2 linked regions of the Lytechinus pictus genome follow. The protein of the gene in region 1 binds, or shares a complex with, the protein of each later gene. Links are inferred from orthologs where the notes say so. Each region holds a gene or a part of one and is shown in the gene's direction. Other genes may lie near its edges.

The links.
Region 2: ribosome biogenesis protein bop1-B-like (region 1) and pescadillo-like share a complex: the UniProt entries of both Homo sapiens proteins name them as parts of the peBoW complex. The link is inferred for Lytechinus pictus from reciprocal best matches to the Homo sapiens genes BOP1 and PES1.

Annotation. Positions count from the first base shown.
Region 1 is NC_087246.1:26,847,179-26,863,603, reverse strand, and holds the start of ribosome biogenesis protein bop1-B-like, read left to right. Parts: upstream 1-9,584; 5' UTR 9,585-9,844; coding exon 9,845-9,910; intron 9,911-11,444; coding exon 11,445-11,592; intron 11,593-12,155; coding exon 12,156-12,259; intron 12,260-13,390; coding exon 13,391-13,585; intron 13,586-14,191; coding exon 14,192-14,343; intron 14,344-15,478; coding exon 15,479-15,698; intron 15,699-16,425. Other genes in the region: uncharacterized protein LOC129282199, read right to left, coding at 1,023-1,189. UniProt on the Homo sapiens protein: Component of the PeBoW complex, which is required for maturation of 28S and 5.8S ribosomal RNAs and formation of the 60S ribosome.
Region 2 is NC_087246.1:20,635,117-20,652,572, forward strand, and holds the start of pescadillo-like, read left to right. Parts: upstream 1-11,101; coding exon 11,102-11,113; intron 11,114-11,466; coding exon 11,467-11,546; intron 11,547-12,752; coding exon 12,753-12,906; intron 12,907-13,915; coding exon 13,916-14,025; intron 14,026-14,435; coding exon 14,436-14,607; intron 14,608-14,950; coding exon 14,951-15,040; intron 15,041-16,301; coding exon 16,302-16,418; intron 16,419-17,362; coding exon 17,363-17,456. UniProt on the Homo sapiens protein: Component of the PeBoW complex, which is required for maturation of 28S and 5.8S ribosomal RNAs and formation of the 60S ribosome.

The DNA of each region.
Region 1 (16,425 bases):
AAAAGGGTAAACATTACGAATACAATGAAATATTTCAATGATGTTAATATTTTTGCAATGACCAAAACCATGAGGAAAACCATGAAAACTGAACTGCACTGTTTCATAAAAGATTTAATTACCGTACACATGTACAACAAATTTGCCTAACAGTTTAAAGCTACTGAAATCATGCAGTTGAACTGGCTGATAGTAACCTTGTTATAGATATTGTGCATTCGATATTATAACAAGTCTTTATGAAATGGGATCCTGAATTTGACATCATGCGATCAATATTACCAACATCACTCAATGACTCTGATTGACCGAAGTGAAGTGTGTGGTTAACTGTTCTAGAGCGATTCATAAGTCACCATTTTTAATAACTTTGCCACTTCCAGGATTTCTATTCAAGTTTTTCATTCCAATTTTTGAGTTGTTGATTTCATACAATGCAGTAATTGAGAATAATAATGAAATGTTGAAATAAAATGTGAGTTACATGAAAACAGTGCTACAATCCCTTTACACTATTTAAAGTTAAGTATTCATTTACTAGCTAGAACATAAAATCATTACACAAACATTTCTCAAACTGTATACACTTACACATTGTACGGACAAAGAGAAACATACGACAATTGCAATTGCAAATGAAATTAAATTTTTTAACCAAAAATTGCAAATATTTAAAAAGGTGAGATTAAATTATATTGCAATTGTGAAAAATAATATTACAAAACTCAAAAAGAAGTGTATGATGAGTAAGTCATGACATTTACAAAGTGAGAATTCATGGGATTATACACAAAAGTTGAAATTATAAATTTTTGTATTGAAGGAAAAAAAAATTAACTGAGCATACCAGCTTTCTCGATTCCCCATTGATTTCTCTGAACGGGGGAATAGGAGAGGAAACATGCTGGGCACAACTTCTCTGGAAAGTGCAGTAAAAAAAAATAGCTTGGACTTTTGCAAAATATTTAACTGGTTAGCCTAGGCATGAATTAAAGTAATTACTAGTAACCAATCATGTTTACCTGTGTGGAAGAGGCAGAAAAGGTCTTGCAACAGATGAAGCTGCAATGGGAGACCCTATTGAAGATCTCAAAGTAATCTCATCAAAAGGAATGGAGCTCTTATCCTCCACTGATATAATGGAATTATCGTCAAGGAAACGAAGCACCTTCTTCTCCTTGGTATTCATTCTCTATGCAATATTAGACACATATGTAGATCTGTGAACAGAGATAGTTAATACGAAAATGTAAAAGATTCAGGAAGTGACGTAGAGCATGGAACATGAGACTAATTTTGTCAATTCTTTACTACCAATTGGTATAGCCTAAGTAAATATTACCAGATTAATATCTATTTTCTAAAGATTTCCATGGCAAAGAAGAAGAGCGTAGTGGGTTTCACAGTACACCACGGTACACCTTATTTCTTCTGAAGACGATAAGAACACACTTGTCGAAATGGCGAGTTTGGGTGGTCCTTTTCAGGACCAACAATTGCCCACAAAAGATACTGTACATGGTGTACCATGAAACCCACTACACTCAGATGAATATCACTACACAATGTAGGCCTACAAGCAAGTGACATCTCTCAGCTCACAACTATCCACAAGACATTCAAACATCTCAGAAACTGATAAAAACACATCCACAAAATTGTATTTAAAAAAAACCCTGCTAAACATATGACCTCAACATGACATCAGAGAGCCAGAATGCAGTTGGAGTCATGGAGATTGGTGATCTCTCTCCTCTCCAAAATGGAGTTTCAATCCTTCTTCCTATAGCAGCTCTAGTGGGCTACCTAGTTCCACCTGCCCAGAGCAGGCAGATTATGCAACACTGCTTTCATGGCTTTATCTATAAATTGGTCGGTACAAAGGCCTAAAACATGTAAGCACAGTAAGTTAGTATCAATAGTAATAATAAAAAATTTACTTGTACTTTCCATCTTATTTATATGCTAATGGTGCTTCAGAGCAAATTTTACAAGAAAAAAAAGACAGTAATGATTGGAAATTCAACAATGAATGCATATGCCTAAATAGATGTCTGTCTGTAAGCATTCTCACACATGAACAGGCATGTCTTCAGAGTTACCCTGATGGTGGTCGCTGATGTCTGTTTTTGTTTAACTCTAGTTAATTCCAAAGGGTCAACCCCGCAAGAGTACTACCGTCGGTGAATGGGGACGATAGTAAAATGTCAGAAATTGTTAAATAAATCCCCAGAAAGAACGGTTATTCCTGCATTTCTTAATTAATTTCATGACTCGAAAATAAAAAAAAAGTTATAATAAATTTTCATACTTTACAGGGTGCAAAGTTTCTTATAGCAAATCGTTCCCAGCAGGTAATTGTGGCATTATCCTGGTTTAAGTCACCACTCCATTCACTGCCGTTTATTTCGTCAGCGGCGGTGACTTCTTTCCTCTCCCATTGACTCTCCGACAAACACAAGAGAGGTGACTTATTTCAGGATATGGCGGTAATTGTTAATGGTTGTGCTTCTTCTTGGGCACCACTGCACCAAACTCCAAAGTGGGATTCCTCACCTTACGTTAGTCTTAACATTAGACCTCTCAAGCATTTGGATACCATCTCTTTGCTTTGTTTGTTTGTATGTGAACGATTTACCCGATTCATAACCCAGGGAGCTCCAGCCCGCGAAGCATGTAGGAGCCCAGGACTCATCCGTGTAATATTAGGCAGAGGGTACTCTCCAAAATGGGGTAGAAACTAGAATGGGGTTGCAATAGCACCCCAAATAAAAGGGGAAAAATGAATTATGCACTTACCTCAATTATATGAATGAAGGTCTATCGTGACACAGAATCATGACATGCATCAAGGGCCAAGGCACAAACTGGACCCTCAAAAAAAGGAATAATTCTGTCTCCTTCGTTCTCAATCTTTCAAGTTGAAACAAAATGGCCGATCGATACCGAGAACGAACGCAACAGAGGTCTAACTTTTCCTTTTTTTGAGGGTCCAGTTTGTGCCTCGATGTCAGGATTCTGTGACTGTGTCTCATGATAGACCTTCTGGCTTCTTCCATATAAATCGAGGTAAGTGCATAATTTATTTTTTCCCTTTTATTTGGAGTGCTATTGTGACCCCATTCTACAATTTGGGAAAGCATATGTCCGCCCACTCACACAAACATGCGAGGTTAGTTGTACTAACCTCGCACAACGCATGTCATTTCATAATGAATTTTGACGTTTTCATTCATCACACGAATGAGAGAATATGAAACACACCTAAATCTTCACAATATACTAAATTTGTTCATCTAAATATTATCATTTAATTGAATTTTAAAATTTTTATCGAACGTATTTATTAAAATGGATTTTAAACGCTTACCTCCAAATCTCAGCCAAGATACTCCGTCCGATCCTTAATACTGCGGTAGAAATTATGCAAACAACAATCGAAATGCGAATTTTTCCTATCGAACAGTCTAGATTCAAGTCGCCGGCGCATAATAGGAAATTGTACCTAAAAAAATCAACAGGCATCTCACGTATAATCGCTGATGGCGCTACATCATAAAATAACGCTGAACAGCGAAAAAAATGCGGAGTGCCTATAACGCAACCAGCAGTAAGTTAACCAGCAGTACAGCTGATCTGACGGAAACGACGTAAACAAGCAAGTTTATTAAATAATATTGCGCGCCCTCTCTGTGCGTATAGAGAAAACCAGCGAATTGGCAGCATGCCTGCTTCGACATCAAGAAAAATCATCGATATAAAGTACCAGAAAGACAGAGAGGAATTGAAATTGGCTTCATATCGTTTGGTAAGTTTCATATACATTTTTACAAAGCTTACTTGATTTATAGTTGATACTCTATTTCTAATTTTAACATAAAAATAAAAGGCATCAATGTTACTGCAAGTGCCGTGCCAGTGGTTATCCTGTGCACGGCGGCGGTAATGTACCCAGGGCCATGGGTGATGTCCGCCTAGACCTGTCACCTAGTACCGGTAGTACACGGACGAGTCCGACTCCTGTCCTGGGTTACGAAATTAGTTACGAATATGAACATGATGAGCCGTGACGATAAGACAGTGATGTGTTTTATGGATGCAGATGATTTGACGAATTCTATGCATTAAAGGAGAACAAAAAGTACAAGTGCAATTACAATTGCAATTTAATTGGATCATCGTTCAGCATGCAGCAGCGACATGCGACGCAGCCAGGGCCAGGCCCAGGAAACGGCCAGCCGGCAGCGCAGGAGCCGTGGACCGGCCCGGCGAGAGTCAGCTCACGAAGCGAGCGAAGCCGTACCGCCTACCGGTAGTGACTGACAGTCTCAGCCTCTGCCTAGTCTCCCTACGTCGTTCGATTATCAGAACGGACAAGACAACGAACTCGCCAATTTGACAGTAGTTCATTTAATAAGTGTTTTACTCAAAGTTTAAAAAATATCATATCATATTACCAAAAATCTTCAATGTTACGTCTTCAAAAAAACCGTTCTTGGATGTCGTCGTCGTACTCCCGAAAACTCGCTAACGGTTATTCAATTTACAAACGTAGAGGGCCGGGCATCCAGATTTTTGTTTCGAAAAAAAAATTATGGCTTGCGCCAAGGGAACAGGCCCGGAACAGGGTTGTCTTTTTTTTTCAAGTAAACTGCTTATGATGACAGTCCTGCTAGCAAATTGTGTATGTTATGATAATTTGGTCATAGACAATATTTGTTTAAAAATGATAATTTTAGTCTATATTTTTTTTTCTAAGATTCATGCCAAACCCAGTACCGTATGGGCACTAGTATTCAACCCGGCATAATTCAAAGATTTTGACATATTCCCCCAAATATTTAGAAATAGGGAATTTATCTTGATTTCATACCTTTGTTATTTCCAGGGTAATCTGTTGTCGGTATTTTCTTTATCAATCTGTCGACTGTATGCGCGGAGGATCGAATTATGCGGCGATGGCCTTTTGCACTGAATGGCACTAGTATTCAACCTAGTGAGGATTGATAGCAAATTTCAAAAGGGTTTAGATTGCTAAATTAGATCTAGATCTATGGAAGTCTCTGGCTTTGATTAATTCCCTGTTTGGTCTCATCTCAAATGGTCTAGTCCATAGTCGGATGGGACAAGGGCAGATTGAGAGACAGGGCCATCTTTCATCACTAGGTTGAATACTAGCTACCGACGGATTGAATACTAGTACCAAAAACCATCGCCGTAAAATTTGATCGCCCGCGCACGCAGTTGACGGGTTGAAGAAAAAAATAACGGGAAAAGAATAACCAGCATTTGCTCTTGGAAATAAGACAGGTCTGAAATTCAGGTAAATTCCATATTTCTGTATATTTGAAGAAACTCTCCAAACGGGTTGAATACTAGTACCCTTACGGTAATCATAATCACTAGGGCGATTCCACACTAGAACTTCAAAAATATCATAAATTTCAACATGCTTTCAATAAGTCATTAATAGTGTAATATTTTACTATGATACCTAAATTTTATGAAAATTATGAGTTTTAACCAAAAGTGAAGTCAGATATAGTTGTTTTTTTTAGGAAACAATGGAATTTTCAATAATTTTGCTAATTAAATAGTCAAGTACAAACACTGCCTGAAACGATTATTGGCAAACCACGAGAAGATTGAAAATATTGCAGGTCAATTGAATAATGTATCATTGATGGTTCCATATAATATCTACAACATTTTCATTATCCATAATAGGGGCAGCCCTGATTTTTTCGAACCTATTTTTGGCAATGTCCCGTACGACACATGAAAATACAAAAGTTTTTCCTACAATTTTATTTTTGATGATGCAATTTCCAAATATCAGTTTCTCAATCTTTGACCCATGGGTGATCGATTTATCCCATAAGGATCTAATTACTGCCTTTCATTTTTCAATAATTGTCCTATTAAAAGTTGTCCCGTACGACACAGTGTGTGTTGTACGTACGGGACATGTCCCGTACGACACACAATATATACTGCATTTAATTGCAGGATTTGGATTCAGAAACTATAAGTAGGCCTATTTTAATTTAAGTAATTGATTTGACATAAAGTGAACTGAAAAAGTACTTTTTTTATCTCCATAGAACATGAAATAGGTAATTCTAACCATTTTAATTGACTTCATATATGCGTATTCTTTTGTGAATCCCTTCAGCTAAACTGGTGATTTTCACTGGTCAGAGCAGGTTAATTTCTTTGTCATTGAGCATGAAAAGAAAACCTTTATAATTGATTCACCCTATAGCCTGGAAGACGACTTCCTCTTCACTTGCATGCTAATGTGAAATTATTATAAAGTGGACAAGTGAGAGTTGGGACATACTTCATGTATGTATACATTTTATATGAAAAATCATAACATTTTAGCCCCATAATTTACACAAACAGTTTCATTCATAGTGTATTCATCAATTAATATAACTTCACACAAAACCCGGGACAAAACCTCAAGTTTTTCAGCTCGTAAAAATGATGTGAACCATTGTACATTTGCCTGTTCAACACACAAGTGTCCCGTATGACACATTATTTTGTTTATGATATTGACAGAAATATTCAGCCAATAGCGGTTTCTAACATAATGAATGTCTTTAGTTTGATAGGATTATCATTATAATTAGCCAAATAAAGTGATTGAAGAAGTCAAAGAGACATAAAGTAAGAAAGTTTGGCTTCAATTTAGAAATGTTCCGTACGACACATTTTGAGTGTCCCGTACGCCACAATGTTCTCGAAAATGATAATTTGCTTTATTTATTCATGAATATTTATTTTGCTTTCTTTCATAGATGTGTTTGTTCTTGGGTAATTGAATATCAATTTGAGTTCAGTTTTTATGAAAATTATCTGTCCAACTCACAGACTTTAGAGTACAAACTTTAGGTTTCTAAAAAAGCCACTTTTTTTGCGTCCATACGACACATTACTATTTTTAATCTGTATTATACAGGATGTGAATTCAAGTCTTGGTTTTCCTAACACTCTGGTAGTACTTGATGATCACCTTTAGTTAGTGGAATTATTTTTTCTTGTCAAAAAACTGTCTTATATTCTCTAAATGTCCCGTACGACACGTATGGAATCACCCACTATATCAAATGTACATGTAGAGTCTATTGGCCCATTCGAGTTTTATGAATGCAGAAAACAGTCAAATCAAATCAAACCTGAAAGACGTTTTGGGGCACCATTCAGTCGTGCATGTTTTCAAAATTTGCTCGATCGCATAAAGATAAGATCTATATTCTTCAAATGGTCATCTACAAAAAAACAATGAAAAAGACCTTCATCACAAAAAGTGATATGGTCATGACTCATGAGCACTATGTACACGTTGGGCGTTGTGGCGTGCGCCTGTAATCCAAGCTGTGGGGAATACAAATTGATGCAGAGGTTCGAGGTTCGAGCCCTGATGGTCACGTCTTTCGGATGGTGACGTTAAAGGTCGGTCCCAGACGTAAATAATCATATCTGATTGATACACGTCTGACAAAACTCAAATACACACACATACACACGTCCCCCGAAATTGGAATTTTCAGCTCCGGCTGCTTTCGTTTCTGGAATTGGGATTTTTATAGTAGCCCCAGTCTCGGGCCTACAGCATAAAGGTCCTTATAGGCCTTCCCAAATGGACGTCATTACTATTCTTGTTTGTTCTCAGAGATTCTACCTAGTATTTTCACGAATCCGTTCCATATGCTCCATTTGTGTGTTGAGGCTTTAACCCCCCCCCCCCCCCCGCAGGAGTAAAGGGGGAGGGGTTTCAAGCTGAATGAAATGCCCGATGTTGATAACCAACAAAAAGGGTCTCCACCACCAATTTTAGGTCGTTTCCTACCCAAAAAATAATTGACAAGCAAAAAAAAGGGTCTTCAAAAAAAAAAATTAGGGGGTGCGGTTTTGGGTATTTCAAAAATCAAGGAGGGTTTCCCCTGTAACACCCCCCCCCCCCTTGCGTACGCCGCTGCTTTTTATTCACAAGCATAAAATACCAGATCATGCGAAAAGTTCCCCTTTTTATGTAGCTTTTTTAAATATAATATAATGGCAATTAATGCCTCGTGCCGGCCCTCTTCTGTATTATTGGCTACCAATATATTTCATAATATTGTCAGTATTATTTTATCCATGCAACCATGGACACATCTGGTCCTGCCCTCCCCCCCCACCCCCCCCCCCCCTTGTGAGCCAAAAAAATATTATAGGGAGTCGATGCGTGCACACGCAAAAGAGCACCTTTTTTTTTGCTTGTCGAGGCGGACATATAATTGGGAGTAGACCTTCACCTTTGGGGGGGTCGTTTATTTTTTTCTGTACAAAAATGCCATCTGCCCCTGGTCTACTTAGTGCAATTTATAGTGTGATAGGGTTTTTTGTTTAGATTAATATATTCATCAGACAGGAAGGAATATTTTCTCAGGGCATATAGTCATATTCGATCACATGAGCATGTGGCGGATCCAGGGGGCACATCCGACCCGTACGTCCCCCCCCCCCATTTGATCAAGAGCAATCATCCAATTGTAAATATGGCGTTCTTACACGAGTGTGCCCCCCTGTCAAAATCATTCAAATTTTATAATGGGAATATGTTGCAGGGGCCGCGGAATGGTTTTCAAAGTGGGGGGGGGGTGAGCCAAAAGTGGGGGACTGACTATATTCCCAAAATCACAACTATATGGTAATTTTTACGTTTTTGTACAAGGTTTTTTTTTAGTGGGGGCTAATAAAGGCCCCCCCCCCCCGCTTCTGCGGCCCCTCTGTTATTCATATACACAAGTGAGGACCTTTTTTTTTTTTGCTCGTCAAATTTTAAGTGCCTGGATAAAATGGCCTTCAATTTTTGATGAAAACCCTTTGATCAAGGGCAACACTCCAAATTTTTAATCAGTAAATATGACATTCTTTTACGAGGATGTCCCCCCGGTGCGCCCCCCCCCCCTTTCAAAAAAAAAATTATAATGGGAATATGTTGTTCATACGAGGACCTTTTTTTTTTGGCTTGTCAAATTTTCCTTGGGAAAATGTGCTCCCCTTTAGGCAAACTCCCGCCCTCCTGAATACATGTGCATACAGGATGAAACAATTACATCAGTTTTCAAGAAAATCTTCTGGATTTTTTCCCACTTTATTTTGCGCTCATGTTAGCCTCATGATGGTATTCATCTCTTTTTTTTTCTTTTTACTTTAACCCCAACAATAATTTTTTTAAAGCCAAATGAGAGAGAAAAAAACTATCCCTTCGGACTTGAGCGTTAACGCTTTGATGAATAGCATTGGGGACAAATTGCCGTTTGAGACAAATTAGACAATCATTTGTCCCCAATGGTATTCTTCACTTTAACGCTCGCCCGTATTTATGTATTGCCCTACTCTTTTAATTGATTAATCACGAGTTAACTTTGACTATTATTAAGATTTTCTTAGAATCAGTTGATATCACACCACTCTTGCACTTCCTTTACTCTCTATTACAATTACGATTGCACTTGCATAAGCTTCGATCCATTACTTATCTTGTCGATAACTAAAGTAAATGTGTAACCAAACATGATTATTCCAGAATAATATGAACTATATACCTGAGTTGGAATTATTTCCTCATGATGACATGCTTTCATCATCTTCTGTTTTGTTCTGTGTTTATACATTGTATCTGCATGTGTGTGAATCAGTGAAAATTATGGACAATAAATGTATTCAATTAATTCAATTCAATAATTGAAAAAAAATACAGTCTAAAAGACTAAAGACTTCAGACAGTATTGTTTTTTTCTTCTTCCTTTTTATACGGTACGGTATCTGCTAATGAGCATGCACGATGTCGGCTGCGACTTCAAGAAAGAGGCCCGCACGTGGCAAGGCAAATGATGACTTAGAAGAAAAGGTTAGTAGGATTTAGTTGAAATAATTGAATTTCAAAAGTAATGGAATGTGTTTGAACACTTGTATAAATGTAGAAAGAACGTGAATGAACGGAGTTACGATATTTGGAATGAGAAACTGACGGTGACCACTAAGGAGGCCATTCCCATTACCGATTATCGCGATTCTTGTGCACACAGATTACATAGGGATATCACGTTTCCGGGAAATCTCGTTCGAATCGCACATACACTAAACCGCCATGTAATGGTATGGTATGTTCATTCAGTCGGCTAGTCAGTGTGACTGTCAGTTTGAGCATGCCGTGGTGAGAGGTCTGACGTTTATTACCGTATACCAACTGTGCCCTACTTTGCTAGGCACTTCAGGTGAAAATTAGGAAAGGCTGTTCGAGCATGTTTTAATTATATGCTCACAATCAGTAGAGGCGCACGGCCAATATTGGAGACTGTCTCCAATGTGGGAGATTATCTCCAATATCAGAGACTTTTGTAAAGAATTTGGGTATCCAATTTCAGAGACAGTCTCCAGTTTTGGAGTCCAATTTCCTTTGTTTACATTTGCTGCAAAAGGATTACCTTGGCGGCAAATAAAAATGTGATAAGCAGATTCCTCATGAAAAATTACCCCTTTTCACCGTCTACTTTAAATATTCACCGTCTACTTTTGTTTTGATAAGGATTTTTGTTGTCAATCACACACAAAACAAATGGGCTTCTGACCTCAGTGAGACAAAATTTTGGGTGGAAAAAATCATGCTTTTGTTGGTGTTGTTTCTTTTGTCCTTTTGCAATGCAAGTCTCCAATGTGGGAGATTATCTCCCCTATTGGAGAGAGTCTCCCATATTGGCCGTGCGCCTCTACTGACAATAGGCTCAATATCTATGATTCATAAAACTGTTTGTTCCGACACCCAGAACTAGATTGTCATATCTTGATACAAAACTTTGTGGACAAAAGACGATTGCGTAATCTTATTATTCTCTTTGTTTTGGGCATGACACAGTTGTAATACATAGTCATACTCATAGCTTATAAATTATGGGGAATGTATTGTAGGACATGCTTTTCATTTAATCTTTTAAAAGCTTTTTGTGCAATCATTGCAATGATTTCGACATATTAAATAATGGTCTAGATACCTAATGTTAGTCATTGTTCATTATAGTTATACTTAATTTTCTACAGATTTTTAATATTCATAATTAGATCGAGAGTAACTGCATCTGTGCGTGACCGGGGGTTGGTGTGCGGCCGTTCAGCAGACTCAGCAATATTTCACTGAAATCACCAACACACTCTAGACATGTACACTACACATTCACTAACTCACTACTTAATCATCCGGCGACATGGGCAAAATCTCGAATAAAAAGTGAAATAAAAAGTGAAGTGAAAGTAGACAGTCCAAGGTAACAAGAGGCAGAAAAGCTTTATGCCTCTAGTCTCTACATCCACGCAATCCAAGTAAATGTTTGCGCACCTGCACCTAAATTTAATATTATTCTTTCTGTTTTTATTTTCTGTTGTTAAAGTTCAACTTGTTCGTAGATGCTCCTGCAGATGAGGAAGAGGATGATGACAGCACTGATTCCGATTTATCTCAAGAGAGTCTTACAGATAGTGAAGAAGGAGAATATGACCCCTTTCCAAATTTCAACGATAGTGATGGAGAGGATGAAGGTTAGTTTCCTTGTACCACTTCATGGAATAATATTTCCTTTTCAAATCATGTAAATGCCCCCTACACAAATACCTTTTTCTTGTGCAGTCAGTCTTGGAAAAATTTCCAATATATACCAGGAAAATTATTCCCTGCACATTTATCGTTCCCACTTCCCATATCAGGTGAAATGCATTTGAATACCTTTCCTCATCCTTCAATATTCTGCAATTATTTTCACCAGATAAAGCTTCGCATGCCTGGATAGCAAGTGCAATTAAAGCGAAGAAGCAGCCCCACCCACATAAAATGCATGGGGAATAAAGGTACCCCCCATGTAAAAAATTCCCCTTCCACCCACCCCCCCTCCCCCGATAAAGTGAAAGATAATCACAAATTTTTATTTGTTCCAATACAAAATATAGTTGGAAATGAGCAGGATTGGGTAAAGAGCCCCTGCAAAAGAAATATTGATCCCCCCACCCTGATGATTTTTTTTCTTAACATTACAGCTAGTCATTCATTCACCAATTGACAATCACTACTCAAACGATTGATTGTTTTGTAATTTTTTCCTCTGCAGACTTCAATCCCAGTGATGAGGATGATGAATCCTTTTCTGAGATGTCAGAAGAGGATGATACGAGTGAAGATGCCGATGATGAAGAAACTAAAGATGAACCTAAGGTAATCATGGTTTTTGTAATACAGTGTATATTGCCACAGTCTTCAACCTCTTTGTTGATTTTCTGTTTGGTCTCATCCCACAGGGATCAACCCTAGTACATCTTCAACCTGGTGGATGTTTCATAAAGCTGTTCGTAAGTTAAGAGCGACTGGTGATCCTTTCTTATGGTAAATGGTTTATTCATTGCGATGAATTAGCGCGTAAGAAAGGATTACCAGTCGTTCTTAAAGTCGCTCTTGAATTACGAATAGCTTTATGAAACAGCACCCTGTTTGTCTATTGTCTGCTAACCATTTAATCTGATTGTCTTTAAAGCCGATTTACCATTTTGTCTAATTTCCAGCTCAGCTCCATACCCTTTTTGTCTACTATCCACTTGGTCTAACACCACTTAATCTATATGATTAAAATGTTTATGAACCCAATTTTTGTTTTGACAAAGTGTAAGATAATAGGAAGTAGACAAAGTCAAAATTAGACCATCTGGGCATGAGACCAAAGAAAAGATCAAGGGAGTATTAGACCAAGTGATCATTATACCAAATGGTAATTAGATCTTCTAGTAGACCATGTGGATACAAACTCTTTTGTGTTTTGTCAGGAAGTTGCATTTCTTGGAATCCTGATGGAATAATAACATGTATCGGTGACCAAAAAATAAATTGAAAAATCAACAGATTATTTGCATATTTGAGACAAGGACACTTGCAGATGACATATATTTGAAGGATGTGAAGACATTTCACAATATATGAAATAGATTTAAAAAATATATATATTTTATCAGAGTAATTACTGATATATTTCTTTTGTGCTTGGCTCTGGCAGGTATTCCAAAGAAAATACATATACCTGTATTGAGGGAGATAATTTGTATTCAGTGCTTTCCACTATGAAAATCACTTTGTAAATTAACTAATTGTTGGTCTTAAAGATTTCTAAGCATATCTAAAGAGACTGTTCAGTTGATAAAGTTAGTTTCTGCTCTTTGTATGGTTAAATAGTAGATTTCATACCATTTCATATAAAAGATGTTTACTGCTTAATGCAAACCCTCAGTTTGGTCACTGAATATACTTACATATAAAACCAATGACATACAAATTACTTCTCTTTTCTAACTGTCACAGACACTCCTGAATAAAGGGAAGCAGCTGAAGAAAGGCAAAAGGCAAGAGCTTAATAGAAAGAAGGTAGCCAAGAACAACGATGATGTCACTGACAATTCCTTGAGATCAGCTGTTGCAGGGGAATCCCCCAAAGAACCCTTGGACAACCAACCACCTCAGAGCAATGAATATGACTTTGATTCATCAGATGAAGAGGTTTGTTTTCTCAACATGTAATTTCCATCCAATATCCAGTGAAATTGAATTAATTTGTTGACTACTAAATTTTGAAATTCCTACAGACTTTGCACAGGGACCACCTGGTTCTGGCAGTTAATGAATTAAGAATATTCCCTTTGGTGTTTTCATTGGGGGGGGGGGGGGCTGGGGGTAAAATCATATGCTTGGATGGTATGGGTAGTGGTGTAATAGGAAAGATAAATACTGAAAATGTCATCAGGATATAAATAAATTTGAATTAGAATGGAGTTGAACTCCTTGTTTTGTTCTCAATTCGGAATCTTCATATTTAAAAAGATCTAAAGGAGGTACATACTATGGTAGAAGTTGAATTCACAATGTGAAAATAAAATGAAAGAGTCTGAGTTTCATCAAATCTACTTTGGACTTTAATAATGTAAACCATGACTGTTTCATTTATTAATTATTTGTCTTCACAGTGTTCACCAGGCACTCTTGATTACATATTTATATAATATTTTTCTCTTGCTGCCTTTGTGTAGAAGTTGTGTAGGAATATTTATAAAATGGCCATTTTATCTCCATGTGCTGTTACGCCTGAATTTCTCTTTGATCATACAGGACATAAGGAACACAGTAGGGAATATCCCCATGGAGTGGTATGAAGGTTACAAGCATCTTGGATACGATGTCAAAGGTCAACGGATAGTCAAACCAGAAGGAAGAGATAAACTAGATGAATTCCTCAACAAGATGGATAACCCCGATTATTGGTTAGAATTCATTCTCATCCTCTCATAAACAAGACTTGTAAACCACCACTTATTGTAGATTATTTATTATGTAAGACGTATGAGGTGTATTTTTAAAGGAAAATATCAATTTTTTGTGATTCATTGAGTCATATGAAAGGTATGATGAGAAAGGTTAAAGTTTGGCCAGAAAAAAAAACAACAGTTATTGCTATTTGAAAAATTAGATCGCTGAGACTATGTATATTTCAAATTGGCAATTTGATGAGTAAATTGTGACAAGTGGTATGGACAACTCTCCCATATGTCATAAACTTAATTATCGTGAATTTGTAGTTTGCTCATATAAGCACTTAAATCTTCAGGATGGTATTCCAAATGTAATATAGATAGCATACTGTATTTGTACATAGAGAAAGAAATGCTGAGTAAAACATTTTAAAAGATTGCATTTTTGAGGAAGAGGGTGATTATAGGAGGCTTGTCTTGATAGACAGCTTGGTAAAGATGTCGGTAACTGATTCTGTTTTTGGGGTTAAAAGGAGGACTGTCTTTGATTAAAAGCTTGATAAGATTGTTGATAAATTGATCGTGTTTGGGGGTTCATTGGATTACTGTCTTTGATAGAGACAAGGTACAGTTGAGGCCAGAAGTTTACATACACCCAGGAAATTCAAAGAAAAGTTGAAACTTGCCAAACATAAAATTTACTGTATCTTATAAAATATTTGTGCTATCATGACAAATTTGATATCAAACAAATGATTATTTCATGCTCTTCATCACATTGCTTTGTCATTAGGAGATGAAAAATATTTAGGTGTCATTTTTTCCCCAAAAATCTTCATATTTTAGACAAATTAAAGATAAAAACAACAAACAATAGAATACATTTGTCACAAATATTACTTTTTTATTCTTCAAAGATTTTCCATCTGAAATATAGTTATATCCCAACGGAATCTTAATCATGTGAAAAAGCTTAATACGATCTTTCACTTGATACCAAATTTGTCATGGTAGTATTTATATTTCTGAAGATTTAGTAAATTTTATGATGTTTGGCAAGCGAACAAATTTCACTGAATTCCATGGGTGTTTGTAAACTTTTGGCCTCAACTGTATATGTTGGTATCCGTTTTGTAATCGTTTATAGGAAGACTGTCTTTGATAAGAAGCTTGGTAAAGATGTGGTGCTCAGTGAAGAACAGTTATTGACCATTCAACGAATCCAACGAGGCTTCTATCCCGAGACGACCTTTGACCCGTATGAACCTTACATCGATCATTTCACTTACGAGAAGATGATCCATCCAGTCACCCGGAGACCGGCTCATAAACGAAGCTTTATTCCTTCACTCACTGAGAAAGACAAGGTAAAACTGTTTCCTGCTTATTCTGATTTAATGTGATGAATTTTAAACTAATCAATGTATTAACATTTTCCCTCATGTGATGCATTTGTGATTACGCCTTTTGGTATTTCAGTATGTGTTGGCGAAGTCTGGCGCATTGCACGTTAGTTACTAACTTTGTAGCAACATTGCCATCCAATGGTGACTTTCACGAGATCATTGACCTTGATTGGCTGTAAAGTATTGTTACCATGGGATGGCAAAGTTACTATAATAGAAACTTAAGTGCAATAAGGTCCCGGTGAATTAGCATGGTAAACCAACCATGCAATGAACACCAAACTTGTTATGAAGCTGCATTTGGAATATAATGCCTTTTAGTCTGTTGAAACTATCATTAAAAAGTGTCCATCTTCATTTTAATATGTAATGTCCCCCTTTCCAATACCAGTATCTAGTGATTTGAAATTTTTTATTTTTTTTTGTAGTTAGTTGTGGTTGATTATCTCTAAATGAATGATTGTGCATTGGTAGTAAAATGTATAATACAAAAAAATATTTCAAATTGTCTGAGGTATGTGAAGCAATTACCATTCTCTTTTGATTTGTAGAAAATCACATCCTCCGGAGATAAAATTTATTACAATTTCACCGTCATTGTCATGACTGTGTACAAGACAAATGTTGATGTCGCTCTTTATTGGGATATCAATAAATATGATTGATGACATCATTCAAAATCGAGCAT
Region 2 (17,456 bases), about 6.2 Mb from region 1:
GTTGAATGTTGAAGACCGTGATCCTCCTTCATATCATAAATAGGTGTTGTGAAGAAGAGAAGTTGAATGTTGATGATGGTGAACCTCCAGCATAAATAGGTGTTATGAAGAAGAGAAGTTGAATGTTGAAGACCGTGATCCTCCTTCATATCATAAATAGGTGTTATGAAGAAGAGAAGTTGAATGTTGATGACGGTGAACCTCCAGCATAAATATGTGTTGTGAAGAAGAGAAGTTGAATGTTGAAGACCGTGATCCTCCTTCATATCATAAATAGGTGTTATGAAGAAGAGAAGTTGAATGTTGATGACGGTGAACCTCCAGCATAAATATGTGTTGTGAAGAAGAGAAGTTGAATGTTGAGGACGGTGAACCTCAGGGACCTGGGAACGATTTTTTCAGTGGGGGTGCTGCAATCTCTTCTCAAGGTGGGGGGGGGGGGGCAGACACAATTTTTGTTTTCCATAATTACACACACACACACACATACCACACACACACCCTCACATACACACACAAACACACACACACATATATATATATATAAATATACATATCAGTCACTTCTTAGCTTTCTTCTTATAAAAGAACATAAATATATACTTAGATAATTCGAGCGCGAGCTATTTTTTGTGGAAATTTCATGTATTTTGTCCTGAAAATTGAACATTTTGAGCAATGTTTGTGGTCCAAGATGCGTATGTAACAAATAATAATTGTGAGCGCGATCAGCGCGAGCAGATATTTTTTATATACGCTCTGGCCTGATCGAAAGGGACGTGTTATAAGGACTGTTTGCAGTTACCCATGAAGACGATACATATATCAACAATCAAATAATGCGCGCGAAGCGCGAGCTGAAAAATTTGACATTCCGACCTAAATACTGGACATTCTAAGCACGTTTTTTAATTATGAACAGGATAGGTATATATACAATTGATGCGAGCGCGAAGCGCGAGCGTAAGCAAAATTGAGATTTCAGACCAAAAAACGAGAGATTCTAAGTACTTTTCCAATCATGATGAGGATAGGTATAAAACTATACAATTGATGCGAGCGCGAAGCACGAGCGGAAATAAAAATGAGATTTCAAACCTAAAAACGAGACATCTTATGCACTTTTCTAATCATGAACAGGATAGGTATATCTCTATACAATTGATGCGAGCGCAAAGCGCGAGCGGAAACAAAATTGAGATTTCAGACCTGAAAACGGGACATTCTATTCATGTTTCGTAAATCAAGAAAATGATGGGTATTTGGATATATTCTTAAATTAATAATGTGAGCGCGAAGCGCGAGCAGAAAAATTTTGATATTCTGATCTGAAACTCCACACTGAATGTAAAATGATTTTCACAGGTAAAGAAAACTCAGACGAACAACATAAGAATAAGGATTTGTTAAAAATCAGACAAGGAATATCACAGTTATTGCATTTTAAAGATTAGCATTATTCCCAACTTGTTCTTTTGTATTTTATTATATACAATTAGGTTTATTCAATATTTTCCTTTCAAGAACCAAAACAGTTGAATTGACAACTGATTTAGTCCATTAGATATTCTTTGCTGCAACTTATTTCATTATAAGGGAGACATATCATTCATTCTGGTATGGAAAAAATGAATGAATTTTGATTCCACAAGGAACAGCTATAGGATAGTGGGGATGTGACAGCATCAGCCCACCTATTAAATATTCATGACGACACTGCATATCATCATTTTCATAAAATATTGCCAAACTTTAGAATTAAATAACTTAACTAATCGTTATCAGATTTTGATAAAATTTATTTATTTTGATAAAATGTATTTGATATAAATATTTTCAGCCCGGAGTACCCCCCCCCCCCAAATAAAGCTGCGTATCTGAATAAACATGCGTGCGCGTGTTTAGAGTTAGACCTAGTATCTGGGCATTCTAAATACATGTTTTTATTATAAAAATCAATAATGCGAGCGCGAAGCGCGAGCAGAAAATATTTGATATTCCGATCTGAAAGAGGGTGCATTTAAACACTATTTCAATGTGTCGGAAAATTCTGAAGTGGGGGGGGGGGGGTGGGGTTCTACAAAACGTCGTTCATTTTCATTACATTTCTGTCATTTATCATACCTACCACTAGATTTCCAGGAGGTGCGCTGCCTATGGAAAATAACACACGCAGCACCCCCGCTTCCCAGCCCGTAGGGCCATGGGGCAGGGCGAAAAAGACTTTAAAATATGATTTCTATTGTCTGACTTGTAATTTTTGTATACAATACACGGGCGGTCGGGCGCACGCTCACTTGATTCGACAAAAAACCTGGAAGTTTCAAGTCCAACCACCCCATGTCCATCCCTGCTATCGAAGAGTGTGTATGGTTATCACGTATTGTGCGCGACCACGTCTGTATCTGAGCGCTGCCCCGCTGGAGCTTGATTGAGTCGCGTTATAGGAGGGATGTTATTGGAATATGTGAAAGACTATGTAAATGATTTGCGGTTGTCGGATGTGATAATTATGTACATTATAACATATTAAAAAAAAATACAGGGGGAACCTGATTTCGTGGGGGTGCTGCCTATGGAAAATAATACACGCAGCACCCCCAGGATAATTTCTGGGGGTGCTTCAGCACCCCCAGCACCCCCGCTTCCCAGGTCCCTGGTGAACCTCCTGCATAAATAGGTGTTGTGAAGAAGAGAAGTTGAATGTTGAAGACAGTGATCCTCCTTCATATCATAAACAGGTGTTGTGAAGAAGAGAAGTTGAATGTTGAAGATGGTGAACCTCCTGCATAAATAGGTTTGTGAAGAAGAGAAGTTGAATGTTGAAGACCGTGATCCTTCTTCATATCATAAATAGGTGTTGTGAAGAAGAGAAGTTGAATGTTGAAGACCGTGAACCTCCTTCATATCATAAATAGGTGTTGTGAAGAAGAGAAGTTGAATGTTGATGACGGTGAACCTCCAGCATAAATAGGTGTTGTGAAGAAGAGAAGTTGAATGTTGAAGACCGTGAACCTCCTTCGTATCATAAACAGGTGTTGTGAAAAAGTTGAATGTTGAAGACAGTGATCCTCCTTCAGAAGTACATGTAGGTATTGTGAAAAAGAGGTGGATTACATATGTGTTGAAGTTAGAAAAGTGAAGATTGCATTCACATAGTGGGGTATAAGGAACATATTCGTGTGCTTTGAGGTGATTATCTTTTCCACAAAGGTTTAACTAGGTGTCAGTGATCCTATTGGTTGTCGACAATGGCAAATTTTCAAGATCGCGTTCAGTTGATATGAGTCGCTTGATGGTGTGCCCATTAGAAGCCTTTAGGAGGGCTATGACCTTGCCATCGGATGTCCATGCTTGTTTCACAGCTTGGTGTGAGGAACTAGCTTTCAGCAACTTCAACCTGGCCTTAGTTAGATCTTCCGATACACTGATACCAGTTCTCTTGAGTTTTCTTCGATTTGAGATCATCTTTGAGCGAGGTTTGTAACTCGTGAATTTTACCAGGATCGGGCGGGGATTGTGTTTCCCCGATTTCCCAGTAGCAGAGGGTGCACCGATATCATCACTTCGAGGCTTGCCTGTCCGGTGTGATCTATCAATGTCTGATAGTGAGAGTGACAGATTCATTTTCTCTGCAACCTGTAGGACCAATTGGTCAGTATTTTCATTCTTGGTCTCTTGGATACCAAAAATTCGTAAATTGTTTCTTCGGCTATATTGTTCTAAATCGTCACTGCGGCTCTCAAGTTTTTTACTCCTTTCTCCTTCTCTCTCAAGCTTCTCCCGTAGAGAAGTATAGTCACTCTCTCTCTGACGGAGTTTATGTTCAAGTTCTAATATTCTACCTTTATTTTCCTCATTCTCTTCAATGAGAGCTTTTAATCTCTCCTCAACAACCGACTCAATCATTTCATGGATAGCTGATGTAAATCTTGAATTATCCAATAGTTGTGTAACAGTGTCACTTTTCGGCATATTTTATGGAGATGGAGAATTGATGTTGATTAAGACAAGAGATCAGAAGAAAAATAGTTACCATCCAGCAGTGTAATTTGCAAGTCGAATCAATTCACAATAGTCACACCTAAAGTTTAATCCAGTACACACTCTCGCACTGCCACTGGCACTGGGTACGGTTGAACCACAGAAATACCGGTTAAGGCGGTATAACAAAAAAATGAATGTGTGGGACTGTAATTTATTCCCCAAGTTATCCAATTCACGAAGTGTCAAAAAATCTCACCAGTTTCAATTATTATCCACCTTAAAAATATCAGTTAAACAGAATATACCTCCAGGATTCGAATCGATCTGTCCAGTTAAGATGATTCTTTCATGACTAGTAATGCAAAAGGGTAAATCTGAAGAGAAAATTGAGGAAGTGTTGACGTAAATATACGGTAGCCGAATATGAAAATTTAGCAAGTTTATAATAGACTTTCATACGAAATTATGCTATATACCATCCATCTTTTTTTCCCGCTCGTTATCTTCAATCCTCAGCAGCCCGGTAATAATATCTTGTCCCTTTTTTTATTTTCCAATTTAGATTTTGCCTCATTCCATTCTACCTTAATTTCCCGCTTTTGTTTGCCTTTTTGTCATCTTTAATTCATTTCCCTGTCTTACTAATCATGCTAATGTATGTGTATATCTGGGAAAATTGTTCTTCCTCACATGTTCTTCTTTCCTTCCTTTTTCCAAATTCTTTCCGTTTTCCCTTTTTTTTCTTAGTTTTATTTTCCCTTACCCTTTTCTATTCCCCTCCCTTTTCCCCCTTTCATCTTTTTTCCTTTCCTTTTCCTTTCCCTTTCTTTCTTTCTCCCCTTATTTTTTTCCTTTTCCCGTTTTTTCTCTTAACATTTTCACGGTGAACTCCGCCAGGGGGAAGGGGGGCAGCTTGCCCCCCCGCCTGTTACGCCACTGGTTGCATGCACCTTTTGGGGGCTAAAATTAACAAAAGTAAAGGAATACGGGCTTTTTCAAGCATGGGGAACCACGGTCCTGACTTTTCCCCCCATCCCTTAGTGCTGCCGATGGGTAGAGTAAAAAACAACAAGGAAAGAGAGAAGACAAAATAGAAGAGAGAGAAGCGAAAGGGAGAGATAGGAAAGAAAAGGAGGGGGAAAGGGAGAGAAAGAGAAGGGAGAACGGAGGGGTCATATCATTGTATGAACAGGATATTTTATGATTATGCCCCGAGCATTAGTGCGAAGCTCAATGCGAGATAAGAACAAAACAGAGGGGGCACACCATGGTGCACGCAGCAAAAATTTGCTTAATAATAAGTCTCCAGCGAGCGAAGCGAGCAAGAATAAAAATCACCTTCAATTTTGAGATTGATTTTGACATGGTATGCAGAAAATGACATATATTTCCTCTTCCTTTTCTTTCTTTCCTTTTATCATTTTTTTTTCTCGGTTGTAGAACTTTTTTTTTTTTTTTTTTTTTTTTTTTTGGGGGGGGGGGGGCAGTGCTATGCGGTTCGGGTCCGGGGCAATGACGGTACTAGGGTTTTTAACCTAGGAGGAGGCAAACAAACATTTTGGGGCCGGGGGGATGGCACACATTTTAAAAAAAAGCGCGAGCTAATTTTATTGCAAATACAGTCCCTACTGATTTAAAAAGGGAACTGTTAAGAATCAGCTGTTTGCATTAATTGGGTCATGAAGATGATATCTCACCAAATGAATAATGCGAGCGCGAAGCGTGAGCTGAAAATTTTTGATATCCGGGATGATACCTGGCCGTTCTAAGCTTTTTTTTAAATTATAAAATGAATGGCTATCTAAATCGCTGAAAATAAATCCTCTATGGAAATTATGAATACGCAGGATATGTATCTCGCTAAAACAAATAATGAAAACTCTAATAACATTTGATTTTTAAGCCCCATGTGAACAGATAATCATTAATAACTGCGAGCGCGTATCGCGAGCTACATTTTGAATTTTATATAATGGCCTGAAAGATTTATGTTAGTGACCAAAATTGTTGGGATCTAAATGCTAACGGTGAATGGATGAGAATATTTTTAAAATTTAAAGAACAAAAAACATTTTTGGAGTATTATGACAACGTTTACTATACATTTTGTTTCTTCAAATTTCGGGGGGGGGGGGGGCAACTCACTGGGGCCTCCCCATTCGGTGGCGCCACTGGTCTGGGGCGGAGCCCCCAGAACCTCGTGATATTTTTAAACATTGCAGATGGCCATTTTTTTTAAATCAAATCGCGGATACATACATCACATATTATATTAAGTTGCTAATTAATTGAATTGAAGGCTACACGTGCAAAAGAAAATGTCTCATGAGAATTATTCGAAGATTAGAGGAGCTTTATACTCATATTTTATATTTTGACAATACGTTTTCTATCGATATACGCCCCCATCTTTTCTCCAAGAGATGACGATCTACAACAGAAGGCTGAAGATATTAATTCGACCCAACCCATTCTCATTTTTTTAATTTGTAAGTTGATTACAAAAAAGAATATGTATAATGATTAGACTGATTCTAGAAACAGAGAATGGGCAACCATTGAACATATTTTGTGCAAATAAAAGAAAAATACAGGTGTCACTCAGCTTTCGGAGCTATTTTATTGGCGGAGGATTTAGGACTGAGTATAATATATGAATAAGATCTGCTCATGAGATGCTTTAACCAGTTGCCCCCTAAATGTGCATGCGCCGGGTCAAGCTAGTGTTTATCTGGTTGCCCGAGTCGAGTTCTCCAAGTTAGGGTACGTGGTTACCCTGGCTAGGCCGTCGGGATATCCCTGGGGGCCCCTTGAAAAAATACTTTTAATTTTAAAAATGCGATAAATATCCCTTTATTCCCTTTACTTTTGTTAATTTGAGCCCCCTAAATGTGCATGCACCTGGTCAAGCTAGTGTTTACCTGGTTGCCCGAGTCGAGTTCTACAAGTTAGGATACGTGGTTACCCTGGCTAGGCCGTCGGGATATCCCTGGGGGCCCCTTGAAAAATTACTTTATTTTAATTTAAAAAAATGCGATAAATAGCCCTTTATTCCCTTTAATTTTGTTAATTTGAGCCCCCTAAATGTACATGCGCCGGGTCAAGTCAGTGTTTATCTGGTTGCCCGAGTCGAGTTCTACAAGTTAGGGTACGTGGTTACCCTGGCTAGGCCGTCGGGATATCACTGGGGGCCCCTTGAAAAATACTTTATTTTAATTTTTAAAATGCGATAAATAGCCCTTTATTCCCTTTAATTTTGTTAATTTGAGCCCCCTAAATGTACATGCGCCGGGTCAAGTCAGTGTTTATCTGGTTGCCCGAGTCGAGTTCTACAAGTTAGGGTACGTGGTTACCCAGGCTAGGCCGTCGGGATATCCCTGGGTGCCCCTTGAAAAATACTTATTTTAATTTTAAAAATGCGATAAATAGCCCTTTATTCCCTTTAATTTTGTTAATTTGAGCCCCCTAAATGTGCATGCGCCGGGTCAATTAAGTCAGTGTTTATCTATTGCCCGAGTCGAGTTCTACAAGTTAGGGTACGTGGTTACCCTGGCTAGGCCGTCGGGATATCCCTGCATGGGGGCCTCTTGAAAAATTACTTTATTACACACACACCGCAAAAAATAGCCGGTGCCCCCCCCCCCCCTGAAAAAGCAAGGACCCCCAGTCCCCCCCCCCGGGAAAAAATCCTAGCTACGCCACTGTCTGCGAAGGTCCGAAAACGCTGGAAAAAGCCATGTTAAAGTGAATTTTTGTTGCACGTGGTCTTATCATGCATGCACTGCACTGCGTGCACGTGTGTTGGCTGTTGGCTGTGCGAAAGACGAAATCAGAGAGCAGGAAGTGGAAAGCGAACTACCCGATTTCGTTTTCGCTGTCTGCGTTTTTCCAAACAGAATCAGGGGGTAGAAAGCGTGTTCTGATTTTGTTTTTAATATATAACAAACACAGGTATAGAATGAGGTATCAGAGAGGACCAAAAGTATTTCTGATTTCATTCTTCTGTTTTTGATCTCCAAAAATGAAATCACAACGGGGTTTTTCTCGTTGTGATTTCGTTTTTGTGTTTTCAAAGACCAATCCATGAGGTTGACTTCCGTTTTTGCTCTACGAAAATCAGGAATGAAAAACGAATTATCCATTAGTACCCTGATTCGCATGTCTATCTAGATACTCAACTTGTTAGTATTTCAACCATTATCCAGTTTCTGAAATACAAAATTCTGCTAGCGCTTTGTGCTCGCATTTTTTATGTAGGAAGAACCCCTATTACTCATCCTTATTATACAAAACAGGAATAGAGTGTCCCATTTTTTAGGTCTAAAATTTAAATGTCGATTTTTTTTCCGCTCGCGCTTCGCGCTCGCATTAATTGTTTTATAACGACGATCCTGTTCATGGTCACAATAATTGATTAAAATTTTCCATTCTTTATGTAGAAGTGTAAAAAAAAAATCGGCTTGCGCTTGCATTATTTTATTGTTGAAATATGTAACGTCTCCATGGCTAAGTGAAATAAGCAGTCCTTAACAGGTACCTTTTTGATCAGTTCAAAACGTATACAAAAATCTTATGCTCGCTAATTTGCGCGAGCATTATTAAAGTAACAAAGATCGGCAATTTAACATCCTTTCCATGATGATTTAAAAGACATGACTAGACATGTCTCGTTTTTAGGTCTAAATCTTCCAATTTTGTGCTCGCGCTTCGCATCAATTGCTAAGTTATATACCTATCCTGTTTAAGTTACAAAAAGTGCCTATGATTTCAATTCTGTTCGCACTTCGCGTTCTTAGTAATTATTTAGTTGCATACACGTCTTTTTCATGATAAACATTGCCCAGAAATTTCAAACTTTGGGGAAAAACATATTTTTTTTTTATAAATTAGCTCGCACTATATAAAAAGGGTTATGATATTATATATTTATGTTGATTTATAAGACAAAAGCTAAGAAGTGACATTTCTTCAAAGAAACAAATATAAATCATATTCGCGCGGCCGATTGGGGAAAAATAATGGTGAAAAAAAATTTGCCCCCCCCCCCCCCTTTGGCGAAAGCTGGATCCACCCCTTCATCCTATTTATTTCTCTCCTTCCGTCCATTTCTCCATTCTTCCAGGAGCCGCGGAATAGTTTTGAAAAATGTTTTTTCAAAACTTTTTTTTGGTATTTCTACCAATAAATTAATGAAAATAATGCGGTACAAAAATCAATGTCATTCTTCTTCCTGTTTTAAACTATATACGTGTACAAAAAACGCACCACTAGCTAAAAAAAACAAAAAAAAACTTGGGGGTCACAACCCGAGCACCCCACTTCCCAGGGCCATATACAAGGATTCTAATTTATTAATTTTAACGAAAGCATGAGACATCATTTGTTGAAAAAAAATTAAAGAGAGCTATTAATGACTGCATGTGGTCCTACCGGTAAGCTAGATCTGCGCACAAAACTGCTTTCATATGACACGCAAAAGGGATAAATCTTAGTGGAAAAGTGGGATAAAGCAAACAGGATTTAGAAACTGCCTTCGTTGGCGTTCAATAATATGGGTGGTATGATACAAATTCTGCTAGCTTATTCGTACTATTATTTCTGGCCATTGTACTTAGATGTATATTTTAATGTGGAAACATTTTTAATTTTTTTTTATGATACAAATCGAGCGAGGCAAGTACAATGATATGGGGCAGAGTTCCAAGTCTTCATGCCCCAGACTGAATATATTTTGACATCAACTTACTCCAAAAACAAGTGTTATGTTTTATTTTGTATTATTCATTTTTTAAGTATAAGGTAAAATTATAAGTCTCGGAGTGTCAGTTAATGCTGCAAAAGATGTATAAGGCCTACTCTTTTGCAGCACTATCCAGCTACCGCGGCGAGGACGCCCTCCGAGAAGGTAGCCATATCAAAACTAAAAACAAAAAATTCCACTTAGATTACTGGTGGATCCAAGGGGCATAATTATCGAGAGCCAAATTTGTAATTTGTAACATAAACATGCCCTTTTTACCCAAGCATGCCCCTTGAAAGTGAGGATATATATAGGCCCAATTTTTTTGCTTGTCAATTTTTAGGGACGAAATTTTGAATTTTTTTTAAAAACATTTTGTAATGCTTATCAAATTTGCATCGGGAAAATGTGCCTCCATAGGCCCTGTCCCCCTTAATTTGAGGTGGGGACCATTGGCAACGTAAAGCAAAAATTTAGGGGGGGGGGGGGGACCACCAAAATTTTGTGAAAAGCCCCCCCCAAAAAAAAAAAAAGTTTATCAACCCAAATTTTAGGGGAGACCACATGAAATTTTTAGGGGGGTCCACTGGAATTTAGGGGGCAGGCAGGAAAAAAAAATTACAAGCAAATAAACAAAAGGTTATCAACAAAAAAAATTAGGGGGGGGCGATTGTCCCCCCACCTCAAATTTAGGGGGGACACGACCCCCCCCCCCCCCCCCCCCCGCTGCCTATGGGGGACGTTGTTGGGTTTTTTTTGGCTAATTTTTTTTTTTCGGTCCCCCCCCCCTTTTTTTGTCAAAAATGTTGGTGCCCCCCCCCCTTAATTTTTTGACTGCCGCCGCTAATAGTGCCCCCTCTCCTTTGGAAAATCCTGGACCCTCCCTTGCCTAGATATAGATGTTTAAAGAATTAATTATTTTGAAAGTCAGAGTGCCCCTGCCCCCCCCATGCTTTAGTTATCATGGCATAAAACTTATGTCATATCTAATCCTTAAATCAGCAAGAGGTCAGAGCATACAGTATCCGTCACCAAACGACTGCATTTGAGCCATTTATTTTCTCTTTTCTCTTCTTTCTATTTTTGGTTGTTATTTAATCATTGTTTATTTGGATAAGCTCGGATCCGAGACTAACTGGGACGGTGAACGCACTTTCGTTCGAGTTGTGTATTTGGGTAACAATACGCCGAGGCGAGAAAGGACACGCCCACAATCCCTCGTTCAGTGCCGAGCTCTGAGAATACGTGTCGACGAAATTTCAAAATGAAATTTGTACACAAATCTGTCACAATTCGGACCCACTTTAGCCTCAGATTAACAGATAATTAGATCTCTTTGTAACACTAAAAGTCATTCACTTGGGGTTTTTTAATATGCTGATTCAGGTGAGGTACTTTTCAATGCTTTTAAACATAGATTAAAAAAATTAGATTTTCGTTTTGGGATCCCTACGAAAGGTGTTGAATCAAATCTAAGTAGGACCTATCAACAGTGCAGTGATAACGGCATTGCCATTGACTTTGAAGTTGAACTTGTGTCTTTTTGTGATGCACATGTTTACTATAATTTCATTCATAGGTTAATAATAGCTTGCGATCATGGCTGGATGGTGTCATGTAATAAGCAAAGCGTACATTGAATGCTATATGCAATACATCAATGTGAAAAACAGAATGATGCTTATTTGTCAAATCTAGGATCAAAATGTTTTTCACACCATGTATTTTAATCTTTACAGTTCAAGAGTGGTATAGCAACTAGCTTCATAACAAGAGCATCAGCTGTGAAGAGACTCCAGTTAAATCTTGTCAATTTCAGGTGAGAGTCAAGTAATTTGACTTTTTTATGTCACTTAAATTTGATTTTTTTTTTTTTTTTACTTAAAAAATAGCCAAGATAATATGTAACTAAAAAAAATGTTTTAATCTGAATAAAGTAAATGATGATGTTTGATCCATCTTGGATAGCCACATTTGAAACTGGAATATCTGCAAATCCAGAACTGAAAAAAAAATCAAATAAACAAACATGAGGGCTATCAGCCATTGCCCCCCCCCCCAAATATGATTGTTAAGAATATCACTTGGAAGTAACAAGAGAACCAAACACATTGTTAGGTACATATACAGTGAATACAATACATGAAAGAAGAAAGGCCCCTGTAAAGAAAGTCTTTTTTAAGCTGACTAATCAGGCAAAATTTCATTTTGAAGACTGAAATGTTGCGTCAGCCAGGGCATACCTCTTTTGAAAATTATCATAGGACTAATTCATTGTTGGTGGAGGAGGGGGGGGGGGCTCCTTTGACATTAACATAATTTGACCAGTCTACATCCTTGTATAATTAAAGGTCAAGTCCACCCCAGAAAATGTTGATTTGAATTAATAGAGAAAAATCAAACAAACAACGCTGAAAATTTCATCAAAATCGGATGTGAAATAAAAAAGTAATAAAAAAGTTATTGCATTTTGAAGTTTCGCTTATTTTTCACAAAACAGATATGCACAATGCACGATGATGTCTATTACTCACCATTTCTTTTGTTTTTTATTGTTTGAATTATACAATATTTAATTTTTTACATATTTGACAAATAGGACCACCTTGACTGAACCATATATTATTAGACAATGCTCATTCCACATGTTCAGGGAGGAATTGTTGTTTCCCTTGACAATGAAGAGAAAATTAGAATATTTCATGGAATGAAATACAAAAGAAATAGTGAGTGGATGATGTCATCAGTCTCCTCATTTGCATACCGACCAGGTCGTGCATATAACTGTTTTGTGAAATTAAGCGAAACTTTAAAATGTCATAACTTTATTATTGTACATGTACATCCGATTTTGATGATATTTTCAGTGTTATGCTTGTTGGATTTTTCTCTTTTTATTCAAATCAACTTTTTGTTGGGGTAGACTTGTCCTTTAGGGAATGGTTAATGAATATTTCCATTGAATATTTTTTTTTGTTATTTTTTCTTTTGCTATATATCTTTATCTTTCTGTCTTTCTTTACAGGAGGCTGTGTATTCTGAAAGGGGTGTATCCGGTTGAACCAAAGAGTATCAAGAAGGCCGGAAAGGGGCAGAAACTTCACAGAACCTATTTCAGATTCAAAGACATCCAATTTTTGGCTCATGAACCCATCGTTCAAAAGTTCAGGGATCATAGGGTATGTATGCTTTTCAAAGAATGTATTGATTGATATTCACAGAATGATGATTTTCAATCTTATTTTTAAGGGGAAAAAAGGGTGATATTATTTCTGATAATTTTATCACAATTTTGCCCCAAACACCTTGTTCTGCCTCCTGAAAATAATCCTGAACAGAAAATTCAAGCATGTCCCTTATCCTGTACCTTCAGAGAAGTTCAAACATGAATTGTTCAGGAGCTAATTTCACGTCACGACTGCTTGTGTTTTTGATGCTACACCCGTGTAGTATTTAAGGCCTGATGAAAAACATTTGTTTTTTCGTTCTTTGGGTATTTTATTTTATCTTTGCCTGTCAAGTTCAGAGAGGATAAAAAATCAAGATGTGAAAGATGTATAATACAAATTTATCACAAAATAGTATGAGTGTCAGCATGAAAAGAATGTGGAAAGAGATTGTTAAATTGGTATTGGTGTCTAGGTGAACGAATGCTTGTATTTGAAGACAAAAAAGGGCCTGTTTAGTGTTGAAGGTCCAATTTCAGAGAAAACTGTTTAAAAGTGATTAGGAAATACTGATTATAATGTCCCAAAATATTAATGAGTGGGACATTGTATGATTTTGAAATCATTGAAATATGTATCGATTAACTATTTTTGCTGATTCACATGACCCACACTTAGTAATGGCTGGATGGGACTACACACAAATGTTCTGCCCAAACATATTTTGAATATCAGGACATCTGCAGGACTTGACATTTTTACCATCATAATCTTCCTTAATGAAGTGAAAATAACCCGAAAGTTCACATTGAATATATAGATTTTCCTTTCAAATTAATATATTGGGGAGTTCTTTTATTTTATCTTCTTTTTATTGTGATAACTCTTAGTTTATTTACCATATGATGTGCACTGTTTGTCTGACCCTTGATGTATATGTACAAGTATTCATTAGAATCCAGATTTTAATCTTAATCTTTCAATTTTTTTTTCTTTTACTCTTTTCTTTCTGGGTTTTCAGGTTTTTGTAAGGAAAGTGAGGAAAGCTAAGGCCAAGCGAGAATGGACATCATTGGACAGACTTAATCGCAATGAACCCAAGTATAAGCTCGATCACATTGTTAAAGAGAGGTATTCAATTCATTTCAATTTTTCATTTTTGACAGAACAAAGTAAAGTGGTCGAAAATAATTACAATGACATTTGCAAATGAAATTTATACAAACAATATAGATTGAAGATGTGAATATGAACTAAAATCTTGGGGTTTAATCTATTTTATGTTAATGGCCTAATGAAAAATAATCATTAAAGATACGAATGATAGTATTGGATGACTTTTCCTCATACAAATATTCAACTTTTGAGGGCCAATACTTCACTCTTGTATGATTCATTCAGTATTATTTACGTTGTTGAATATTATTAGTGTCCCATTCTGAACCATCAGCTATCCCAAAGAGTTTAAATGTTGTATTTTAAGGAAGTTTGGACTGGAATCATTGGATTAGAATATTTTTCTTGATCTTTGTGTTTGACAGATACCCAACGTTTGTTGATGCTCTCCGTGACCTTGAAGACCCTTTGACCTTGTGCTCATTGTTCAGTACATTTCGTAAGAATGCCAAAGTGAAGAGCGAAGTTCTCCCCCTCTGCAGACGACTTGTCGTAGAGTTCATGAACTATGTCATCGCATCAAGGTCACTCAAAAAGGTGAGATTCATGAATAAAGTCTCTGACAAAAACAATTAGAGTTTTTGTGGATCAGTAGAAATCTCTAGAAATTGATTTACCAGTATTAATCTGTATTTGCCTCACATGACCCAGGTGTAGTAAGTGGGTATCTAGTAGGATTCATGCACTTAGTGCTGACAGAAAACCAATTTGGGTATGACATGTGGCATAGAAACAGGTTACCAGTCAAATGTAAAAGTCAAGTATGAACTTACCTGTTAACTTATATTAAGCCAATAGGTATAATCGCTAACTTGAATAGATGGCAAGTATAAAATTTGCAAAATCTGTTATATCTTGATGTGTTGTTCATTCCATGTAGGTTTTCCTGTCCATCAAAGGGATCTACTTCCAGGTGGAGATTGAGGGACAGCTATTAACATGGCTCATTCCGTATAACTTTGGATATTCGGTTGGTATTTCTTCTTGCTATGGTGTTTTGTACAGTGAAACCTGTGTTCAAAGATCCTTTAGGCAAATATTGTTATGAAATGTGAGAGGGTCTGCCATAGGCTTCAGGGCAGGAGGCAGGGGCGCAACCCCCTTATTCTTTTCAAGTGAAAAGGAGAGGACAGGGATTGCGGGGAAAGTATAATAGAGTACCAAAGTATGACGTCATCAATTTTTACTTTTTGCATTTCAGCGCTTTTCATACCATAATTTAGTAGAGCATGATGAAAAACCCCCACAACACAAATTTGGTGAGAATTGGTTCATGGGGCCCCAAGTTATGACCTCACGAATACATAATTAACCCCATTGAATTCAATGTATTATTGGCCTGGTTCTAAAAGTTAGGAACCAGGCGAATAATGCATTGGCTTCAATGGGGCTAATTACCGGTAAGTATTCATGAGGTCATATCTCAGGCCCCCATGGACGGATTCTCATTAATTTTGGTGGTGGGGGATTTTCATCATGCGCTACCTAAATATGGTATCAAAAACGCTCAAATGCAAAAAAAAAGTTTTTTGTGACGTCATCACTTCGGTACTCTATAAAGGATGAGAAAGAAAAAGAGTATTGAGAAGATAATGCCGAATTGTGAAACTTCGGAATACCTTTCTAAGTGTTTTCATTATTATAGTCACATTTTGGACACCTTGCCTCTACTGTCAAAATACCAAGTTGCCACCGTTTCTAACAAGCACACAAAATGGGGTTTATATCTCTGTTGCCCCAAATGTGTTTTTGGAGCCCCATATTTGTATTTCTGTGTGTAGTGCTTACTCTCAACGTGATAAGAATATTGTTATCATCCTCTTTTTCCCAAATCTGATAGCAGATGCTCACACTGAAAATATCTCTTTGATGTTTAAATCTCGGAACCAAATTTGGTCAACAAATTTATTGTAAAGTTCCAAAGAAATATTTCATTTCTAATTTCATTATCTCAGGTACTGTTATATAAAGTTTGAAAATGTCATGGCAGCAATAGAAAGGGTACAGATGTCACTAATTAGCAACGTTAAACTGATTAAATAATTTTTTTTTTAATGGGACATTGCATCACTGCTACATGTATGTTTAGTTATGATCTCTTCCTGCCTTAGGCACCAAAGATTCAGGTGCTAGATATTTAGATGTGATAAACTCTGATTCTGTTTTTAGTCAAAAGTCTTTTGTAACAATGTTTTTATTTTCGCTGTTTCATCCTTGATTCTTTGTTACAGGTGCCCGGTGATGTTGATTTGAAGATCATGTCTACATTCACAGAGTTCTACACCACTCTCTTAGGTTTTGTCAACTTCAAACTCTTCACAAGTCTTAACCTTCACTATCCTCCCAAGGTAAGATGGAAGTGGGTTCAGCAAGGCCATGCATGACCTATGGCCCTTGTGCATTGTCGCCATCTTAGAGGCACAAGCCATTGCCTTCCCAGCATCGGCGATCTGCAGCTGGTGCATCTCTGACAACTCCGTTTACATGTATTTCTATATCCTCTGAGGGAGGGCGCTATGAGGTTATGGACAACATTTGCTAAATGTCTATTGATAAGCATCAATGCTCGTCTGATTAGCCTTTGATATGTTTTGTTTCCCTTTTAAAGTTTTCTTGTATGTGCTGTTTTATAGATTAAAGGATTTAATATACTCAAATTTACAATCGGCAGGGAAATTTTCCACATGGATTAAATTCTGACTAAAAGTCGCAAATGCCAATGCACACATGATCACAACATCGATGTAGTTGAGATTTTGTAGTTTGTACTGTGTGAAACACATACATGCAAGTTTTTGAATTCCTTGGCTGAATGCAAATTTGTTTGTAAGAATCACTGACAACACATTCATTTTAACCTTTGAGTTGAAATTCCTGTTGCTGGAAAGGTGAATGCAATCATTGTGAGTTTTAATATTCTTTTCATATCATTTAGGAAGAATATTATTGTAAAATGACCCCCTGCAATGGATGTTTTTCAGATGCCCAAACTTTAACAATGTAACACTAAGAAAGCTGTTATGTTTGGGCCAAACATTTTTATGTATACTATTCCCATACATGTATATCTGTTTGCATTGCCTATGAGTGAATACAGTAACTGAGTTGATGTGTAGAATATTGGTCTTCTCAAAATCTTGCAACATACTCTAATTCTTATGTTATATGATTACCATAGCTCCCAATCGCTTTCTACATTCAATCTATCGACAAGAGCCTCAATTAAACTTTGAAAGAAAATTATCCATTTGGCAGTGTATGAAAATGCTATTTCATATCTATTCCCCCACAGTTGTCAACAGTAGTACAGAGCACTAAATCAGAAGCCGACCAGGTGGAAGATGACGATACGGTAGATGACCTTATAGGTTCCTTTGTACATGACC